Danio rerio: one gene and its partner. Each later gene encodes a partner of the first gene's protein in a complex. Links are inferred from orthologs where the notes say so. Each region holds a gene or a part of one and is shown in the gene's direction. Other genes may lie near its edges.

The links.
Region 2: lamtor1 (region 1) and lamtor4 share a complex: the UniProt entries of both Homo sapiens proteins name them as parts of the ragulator complex. The link is inferred for Danio rerio from reciprocal best matches to the Homo sapiens genes LAMTOR1 and LAMTOR4.

What each region holds. Positions count from the first base shown.
Region 1 is NC_133190.1:46,802,632-46,807,210, reverse strand, and holds the start of lamtor1 (ragulator complex protein LAMTOR1), read left to right. Parts: upstream 1-1,675; 5' UTR 1,676-1,858; coding exon 1,859-1,900; intron 1,901-4,455; coding exon 4,456-4,579. UniProt on the Homo sapiens protein: Key component of the Ragulator complex, a multiprotein complex involved in amino acid sensing and activation of mTORC1, a signaling complex promoting cell growth in response to growth factors, energy levels, and amino acids.
Region 2 is NC_133179.1:20,644,481-20,648,973, forward strand, and holds the start of lamtor4 (ragulator complex protein LAMTOR4), read left to right. Parts: upstream 1-1,441; 5' UTR 1,442-1,501; coding exon 1,502-1,504; intron 1,505-1,654; coding exon of another isoform or gene 1,655-1,690; coding exon 1,691-1,771; intron 1,772-3,115; coding exon 3,116-3,233; intron 3,234-3,830; coding exon 3,831-3,928; 3' UTR 3,929-4,493. Other genes in the region: atp6v1f (V-type proton ATPase subunit F), read right to left, coding at 881-1,038. UniProt on the Homo sapiens protein: As part of the Ragulator complex it is involved in amino acid sensing and activation of mTORC1, a signaling complex promoting cell growth in response to growth factors, energy levels, and amino acids.

The sequences.
Region 1 (4,579 bases):
CACAAAAAAATTTACAATAAGATCGAGAGCATAATTCTTAATTCTTATTGTAACAACCTCTTTGAGGATATTAAATGGTCGTATGTCTGGTCGCTCCCCCAGAATTTTTTTTAACAAATAAAATTAAAGAAATATCTTTTAAAATTATTTACAGGTTTTATCCCGTTAAACAATTTTTACAAAAATGTAAAAATGACATTGGCATCTCTTGCTCTTTCTGTGAAACCTCTTCTGAATCTGTTGCTCACTTGTTTCGGGAGTGTCCCTCTGTTAAATCTTTTTGGTCTAATGTAAACTCTCTAATTATCCAAAAGGTTTGTGGAGATTTTTCTTTAAGCTATAGACATATTATTTTGTGGTTTTATATTAAAGGAAAAGAATTCCTTAATTCAACTTTTTGCATAAACCACATTTTATTTATTGGAAAGTTTTTTATACACAAATGCAAATATACTCATTGTAAGCCTATTTTTTTTTTTTTTTTTAAACGAGAACTAGCTCTTTATTTAAAAAAAAACCCATCACAGACTCTCACAATAAGAAAGCTATTAAAACTTATAAAATATGTGCTTTATTTAATATCCTGCAATAATTTGTTTAATCTTTGTCATGTGCCCTTAATTATTATTATTATTTCTCTCTCTCTCTCTCTCTCTCTCTCTCTCTCTCTCTCTCTCTCTCTCTCTCTCGTTGTCTTTATTTTGATTTACCTATATTATATTTGTTCTAAATTTGTTACATTCCACTTTTTCAAAAAGTAATATTTCTATTGATTGTACCATACTTTCAGTTTTGTATCTGTATTTGTTGTAAAGTACTGTTATTATTGCAAAAAAAAAAAAAAAAAAAAAGCATGATGTTTCTTAAAGGTTTTTCATAAAGGTTTCCTAAAGGTTTTTCATACATATATATATATACATATATATACATATATATACATACATATATATACATACATATATACATTCCATATATACATACATACACACACTAGATATCGCATAGGGACCCTGAGCATGCGTCAATAGCGCCGCCACATTGGTACAGTGCTCCCAGTACAAATGTCATTCAACCGCACTAGTCAAGTCAGTGTTATTACGTGAAGATGCGGGACTTTAGCGAGCAAAACAGAAAACAAAGCACAAAGGCAGAACATTCCATAGGTAATAAAAAGTTTTTTCTGTTTTTGTATGTTCTGAACTTTTGTGCTAATCAGGTAACGTTATTGATGAAAACAGTGACTTACTGCATTCACCATAAGGCAAAGCAGCTCCAACTCGCTCCCGCTCCGTCAGTATGAGAAGTGAAAGCAGGAGAGGAGCTGTGTTTCAGGACATGATTAGATCAAATTTAACAGGGAGGGTGGATAGTACATTTCTGTACACACAAACACAAGCTTTTTGTCAGGAATGTGATGTAAAATTATAATTTTCGTAATTAGAAAAAAAAAATTACATACAACATCCAGGAAAACTCCCGATCATAGATATATGTGTATATCTCTGGCTTTGGATGGCCACAGTCCTCCACTGTACCTTGGTCCTGCATTCATTTCAAAGGAGCGCTACCCTGTAGCAAGATGGCGGCGCTATTGACGCATTCCGTCCAATAGACAACAATAGGCCAGGCGACATCTAATGTATATATCTATGAAGGTTTTTAACGGGTTTTTGGGGCGGAACTGACGTGCCAGTGTGGAGACGGAAGACACGTGACACGATTGGGAGTGCTGTCATGTGATGGTTTCTGCGTTTGCAGCAAATCTCTTCACAGCCAAGAGGCAAACACAACCTCAAAAACGCTCCTGAGACGAATAAAAAACCCAAATTCAGGATACTGAACCCGCTGGGCGGCCATCATGGGGTGCTGTTTCAGCAGCGACAGCGAGACGACGGATCCGGTAACTCAAAACACTAATAATGCAGCTTAATGTAGCGTCTGTAGTCCTGCAACAACATTTACTAACGACACACTTTCAATACAGTTGTGTGTTTGTGATTCAAGAACAGCTCAATACTGAGTGCTTGTCAAAACTACAACAAACTTAATCCACTAACGCTACTTTATTTATGTATATTTGATCATTAACGTGTGTTTGTAATGAACTGAAGCTGGTGTTTCGGTGGAGTTAGTCTTAAATTGGGAGTTTTGTGTTGGATGTGGGTCTAATGTGTCAGATCTGACATGTGCTAATGCTAATGTTTGGGGAAATGTAGTGTTAGGGTTTCCACAATGATGGAAAAGTTAAATATATTAGTGCATTTTAGGCCTGGGAGTTTTTATAACAGTTGTACGAAAATATGGGGAGTATTTATGATTTTATTGAGTGAAAAAGAAAAAAAATTAAGCCAATCGTGAAAAGGTTTATTAAATTAAAATGTGCAAATTTTGTTGGATTTACACTAAAAGTTAGTTTTATGCTGTCCAATGCTGAAAAATAACTTAAAATACCAATAATAATGCAGCTTAATGTAGTGTCTGTAGTCCTGCAACAACATTTACTTACGACACACTTTTAATACAGTTGTGTGTTTGTGATTCAAGAACAGCTCAATACTGAGTGTTTGTCAAAACTACAACAAACTTAATCCACTAACGCTACTTTATTTATGTATATTATATCATAAGCGTGTGTTTGTAATGAACTGAAGCTGGTGTTTCGGTGGAAATAGTCTTAAATTGAGAGTTTTGTGTTGGATTTGGATCTAATGTGTCAGATCTGACATGTGCTAATGCTAATGTTTGGGGAAATGTAGTGTTAGGGTTTCCACAATGATGGAATAGTTAAATATATTAGTGCAGTAATTCTCAAACTTTTTTCATCAAGTACCACCTCAGAAAAGATTGTTCCTCCAAGTACCACCATAATGACCGGTATTGAAATACAGTAGCGTAGTAGGCCCAGTAAAACAGCTGCAGCTCTGCACAGTTTAATAACGTGGTAAAATAACTACTACTATTAAGGATATTTATTATTATAAGCCACTTTAAACATTATAAATAGTAACATTAAGACTGTACTCTGCTTATATGTAAACAAACAAACAAAAAAATTAATGTTAACGTTTAAATTAATGTGCTTTTAAAGGTTTAATAAAAATGGTAGGTTACTGTCCTTAAATAGAAAAAAACTGCTGTACTTAAATGTAAAGTCCTATTTATCAAAACCTGGAAATGTTGCTTGGACCTCATAAATAGGCTATATGTCATCATATTCATATTCAAACCATTTTTGATAAATTTTGAAATATATGTTGCTTGTACGTGACATGTAGGATTCCTCTGCGTACCATTAGAAGGAAGCCTGCGTACCGCTAGTGGTACACGTACCACAGTTTGAGAACCACTGTATTAGTGGATTTTAGGCCTGGGAGTTTTTATAATAGTTGTACGAAAATATGAGGAGTATTTCTGATTTTAGTGAGCTAAAAAAAAAAAATTAATTAAGCCAATCGTGAAAAGGTTTTTAAATTAAAATGTGCAAATTTTGTTGGATTTACACTAAAAGTTAGTTTTATGCTGTCCAATGCTGAAAAATAACTTAAAATACCAATAATAATGCAGCTTAATGTAGCGTCTGTAGTTCTGCAACAACATTTACTTACGACACACTTTTAATACAGTTTAATGCAGTTATGATTTTAGTTGGTTTTAAATAATAAACTGAAGCCAAACGTGAAAATGTTTTAAATTAAAATGTCTAAATATTGTAGGGTTTGCACTAAAAGTTGGTGTTATGCTGTCCAGTACAGACAAATACCCAAAACACTAATAATGCAGCTTAATGTAGCGTCTGTAGTCCTGCAACAACATTTACTTACGACACATTTTTAATACAGTTGTGTGTTTATGATTCAAGAACAGCTCAATGCTGAGTGTTTGTCAAAACTGCGTCAAAATTATTCCAGTTACGCTACTTTTTTTATGTATATTTGATCATCAACGTGTGTTTTTTTAATGAACTAAAGCTGGTGTTTCTGTGGGATTTGTCGTAAATTGTGTTGGATTTGGATCTAATGTGTCAGATCTGACATGTCCTAATGTTAATGTTTGGGGATATGTAGTATTAAGGGTTTTCTCAATGATGGAAAAGTTGAATGTATTAGTGGATTTTCAGGTCTGGGAGTATTTATAACAGTTGTACGAAAGTATGAGGAGTATTTATGATTTATTTTTATATTGGGATATCGCCCACTCTTTTTTTCTATTTTTATTTAATTTAATTATTTTTCCTGGTCATTGCGCCTTTGCTGTGTACTGTGTAAATGCAGACAATCGGATACGAGTCCCTTTTAATTAATGATGTAAGCAGGTCATCAAAAAAATCAGATACAGTCACAAAATCGCAATTGACCATCAAGATCTGCAGCGTGAATGCAGCCTGTTAGCTTACATGAAAATAAAGTGGTCTTTCTGGGTGTTTGAACAGGATGTGTTGATGTTTTGGTCCTGCAGGATGGAGATGAGGTGAAGCCACTGATTCCTGACCCAAACCAAGAAAGAAAACCCACTAATGGCTCAGAGCGAAATGCAGACAATCTGCCGTCCAACCGCACAGACGAACAAGCCCTGCTCACGG
Region 2 (4,493 bases), on another chromosome or scaffold:
TTATTATTGTATTAAATGCATATACAGCGCATACTTTGATGTTTCAAATAACTCTTCTGAAAATTAAATGCAAGCATGGGTGAAATTATAATCAAAATCAGACATTATTGCATATTTATGTAAATACCAAACTACATATTGACTTGGACTTGTACTTATTCATATAGACCATTTCATTGTGGTGATGACATTGGCCTATGCTTGATATCAAAGAAACAATTGAATAATAACTTAATTCTAAAAAAGCTATCATAACATTATTTATCAATAAGCAGGCTCTTTTTAGATTCTCGTAAGCTATAAAAATTAAAAATGTAAAACAGAAAATACGTTGGAACATTTGTTTTTGTTTACATTCCTCAAAATGATCTATCGTCAGAATAAGAAGAGATCAGACAAACATGTTCTTATATTTAAATTATTCAAAATTGATCAGTAGTTTGAAGAATAGTGACAAAGGATATTTAAATGACAATTGTCAATAGGGGCTGCACTGTAATTCATAATATTAATAGTTTGATATGTCTTTAATAGTTTCTTGCAAATATGATTGACAGTTTACTGGTGTATATAAAATATTGTTAAACTAAAAGACATTTAAGTGGGTTTCTTGACAAATTTAGGTAATTATTACTACATAAAAATAATTTATATATAAATGTTTTTTCTAAAATATTTGGCTGATATGATAGATAGATAGATAGATAGATAGATAGATAGATAGATAGATAGATAGATAGATAGATAGATAGATAGATAAACATAAATATTTTTTTAAAAAGCAAGTCTTCATCCATATATTTGTAATGACACATATTTGATAATTAGATTGTAATATATGATGTTGAGTCATTCAGACATTTAGGATCGTGTCACTTACTTGAAGGTCTCCTCTATCTCTGTAACGCTGGTTTCCTTCTCCACCACCAAGAAATTGGGTTTACGGTTTTTATTGAGCTCTCCGATCCCTCCGAGGAGAAATCCGGTGCACGTGTCTTCATCACCGATAACTGCGATTAATTTTCCTCGTCCGGGCATCGTGACTTTGTCTTATATTTTGCTCAAATAAAAGACGCAGAATGGACGAAATGTTTTCCGTTCAGCAGGATCATATGCTTTAATCAGCTGACCACTTCACTTCCGCTTTGCGTAGTCGCGTAAGCGCCTTATTTAGCTGATCTGAGATCTGTGCTGCTCGCGTTAACGACCGACCTGTGTGCGGTGATTATGACAGCGAATCTGATCCTGATACAGATTATTTTTTGTTAAATGCGAGAACAGCGCATAAATCCTAGCAAATTAAATAAAAATCCGCCACGTTTTAGTCATACTAAGATTTTTTATCACATTTTGTACGTTTCCAATGCATATAAACAAAAATAATGTCGAATAAGCAAAACATCTCCTGGAATGACGTTATAAACACGCGACGCTTGATGTCAGTCACGTGAGGCGGGGTGTGAAGGAAAACAGCAGTGTACATTTATCTGCACTGTCTAAAATGGTAAATATAATTCTTACCTTTAAAATATTTGTTTAATTAAATGTTTTTTTTATTAAATGTTTTGTTTTAGTGCATTTAGAACTTATAAAACAAAGATTTTGTAAATAATGTGATTGATGATGCAGTCTAATATCATATGAGCTCTGTTAGTGTTTAATTACAGTATTATCGTGTGTTGAATGTCAGACTACTGCTTTGACTCAAGGCTTGGAGAGAATACCCGATCAACTTGGGTACTTGGTTATTAGTGAAGACGGAGTACTCGCGGTAAGCTGTTAAAATTCATAACTTACATTTTCGGAGAACTTGACATGAGGGTGAAATGCGTTGAAAAGAGAATCCTGATTTGGGCAAATGAGAAATAATTAATTAGAATTCAATGTCTGTCAGTCTTATTGTTCTGTCTGTCTCTGTTTGCCTGTCTACACTTTGAGGCAAAATTATTACGCCTCTACTGATACATATTATTTAAAAAAAAATTCCCAAGTTATGATGAACTGAGCAATGACATTTTCACAGTATTTTCTATAATATTTTTATTCTTGAGAAAATTTTTTATTTCTTTTATTTTGTCTGGAATAAAAGCAGTTTTTAAATAAAAAAATAACAATTTTAATAGGTTAATAGGCCCTTAGAACAAAATAATGGTATTCAATGACTTGCCTAGTTAAACTTATTAACCAAGTTAAGCCTTTAAGTTACTCATTAAGATGAATTCTAATATCTTGTAAAATAACTAGCAAAATATTATGCAGTGTTATCATGGCAAAGACAGATTCTGTTAAAAAATATATATATTACAACTATTATTTTTAAAAATGTGTTGAGAAATCTTCTTCCTTTTGAACAGCCTTCATGAAAATAAATTAAAAAAGGAAAATATTTATTTATTGCCAATAATTGTGCCTTTAACTGTATCTATCTATCTGTCTGTCTGTCTGTCTGTCTGTCTGTTGGACACACCTGGCTCAAGGGGTTATCTCTCTCTCTGTCTCTTTCTATATATTCGATAGGTTCTATGTTTTAATCATATAATCAATTTATCATTTACAGTTGAGTCAGAATTATTAGCCTTGCTGTTTAATTTTAAATCTTTTATATTTTTCCCCAATTTCTGTTTTACAGAGAGATTTTTTTTCAACACTTTTCTAAACATAATAGATTGAATAACTAATGAATTTCTTTTATCTTCGCCATGATGACAGTACATACTATTTTACTACATATTTTTCAGGATAATAGTATTCAGCTTCAAGTTCAATTTAAAGGCTTAATTGGGTTAATTAGGTTAAGGAAGATACTTAGTTTAATTAGTAATTTAATTAACAATAATTTGTTCTGTAGACAAGTTAAAAAAATATATTGCTTGGGGGGGGGGGGGTAATAATAATTGAGTTAAAATGGTATGAAAAGCTGCTTTTATTCTGGCCAAAATAAAACAAATAAGACTTTCTCCAGAGGAAACAATATTATATGAAATAATGTGAAAATGTCCTTGCTCTATTAAACATAATTTGGGAAATATTTAAAAAAGAAAATATCATAGGGGGATTAATAATGACTCCACTTGTCTCAGTTAAGCAGTAAGTGAATGTTTTTTGTAATCTACAGTCGGCAGGAGAGCTGGAGAATGACGAGCACACAGCAGGAGTGATCATGCAGATGGTCCGAACAGCTTGTCGCTTCAGATTACATGGGACTGCAGAGCCCCCATTCAAGCGCATGTCTGGTAAGAAACGCACTTCATTTTTAGATAAATGCTGAATGATGATAGAACAATATTTCACTCATATTTTGTCATTTAATTTTCAAAAAATGTGATGTGAATTATTAAAGTAAACATGCTTGTGTAACATCAGGTTTATGTAATATTCAGATATCACTGTAGTATTAGTGTTTATTTGTAACATTAGGTTTAAGTATTATCCAGATATTTTTACAGTTTGAAATAGTTTTTATCTTTACATTTTGTGTTTTTTCTATTTAAAGTTTAAGCAATTTTGTTATGTATTTCTATCAGTTGTGTTTTTAAATAGGTCTGTTTAAAAAAAAAAAGGTTTTATTAGTTTTTATGGTTTCATGTGTAACCATTTTAAGTCTTTTTTTATCCTCTTGATTTTGTTTAGGAACAAAATAGCCCTAATAAAATAAAATAACCCTCTTTAATTTGTTGTTTTAATTAAATTTATTCAATAAGAAATAATTGATATATGATCATTTACTATTTTACAGTAAATCATTTTTACTTGCTGTGAAAATCCATAACTTCCAAACAAATACTGATATTAATGTATATTTTTTTCTTTCCTTTTTTGTCTGATGTCAGTGATGTTTGAAGACTACGTCTATGCTGTGACCATCTCCGGACAGAAGGTTTTCGTAGTGAAAAGGCAGAACAACCAGCGGGAGCCTGTTATCGTGTAGTAAAGAGGATAATATGGACTGATCTTTCCCACTATTACAAGCTCAAAATGGTGCCCTCACATAAAAATGACCCCGTCTTTACAACCACCCGATGTTTAGCACAATCACACTCTCTTTCTTTCTTAAGGTGAAATTTTGCAATGTTTTGGGGGCCTTTTGGTGATGTCAGGTGTATTTGACCTGAGCCAAAGTAAGTTCATGTGTTTCTCTTATTAGATTATGATGTTACATGGTTCATCTGATTTCTTTTTTTTGGATACAGGATTAAATTGTTTTTATATTTTAGTCCCTTTCATACTTGAGTGGTCACAATTATAGTATTGCTGGACATCATTATAGATTTGCATTAACATTTAACTCCAATAATCCATTAAGCTATAGATTAAAGGATTCATTGCATCATATTTTATGCAGAAATGATGTATTAGCCAAGGAAGCAGTTTCTTTCCATCAATATATAATTATGGTGTTATAATTGCAACTTTCATTATGGATTTCATGTTTCATTTTTAATGTAAAGTGTGAGAGCTTGTAGTGAAAGAGAGTGCACTGAATGCTTTTTGCA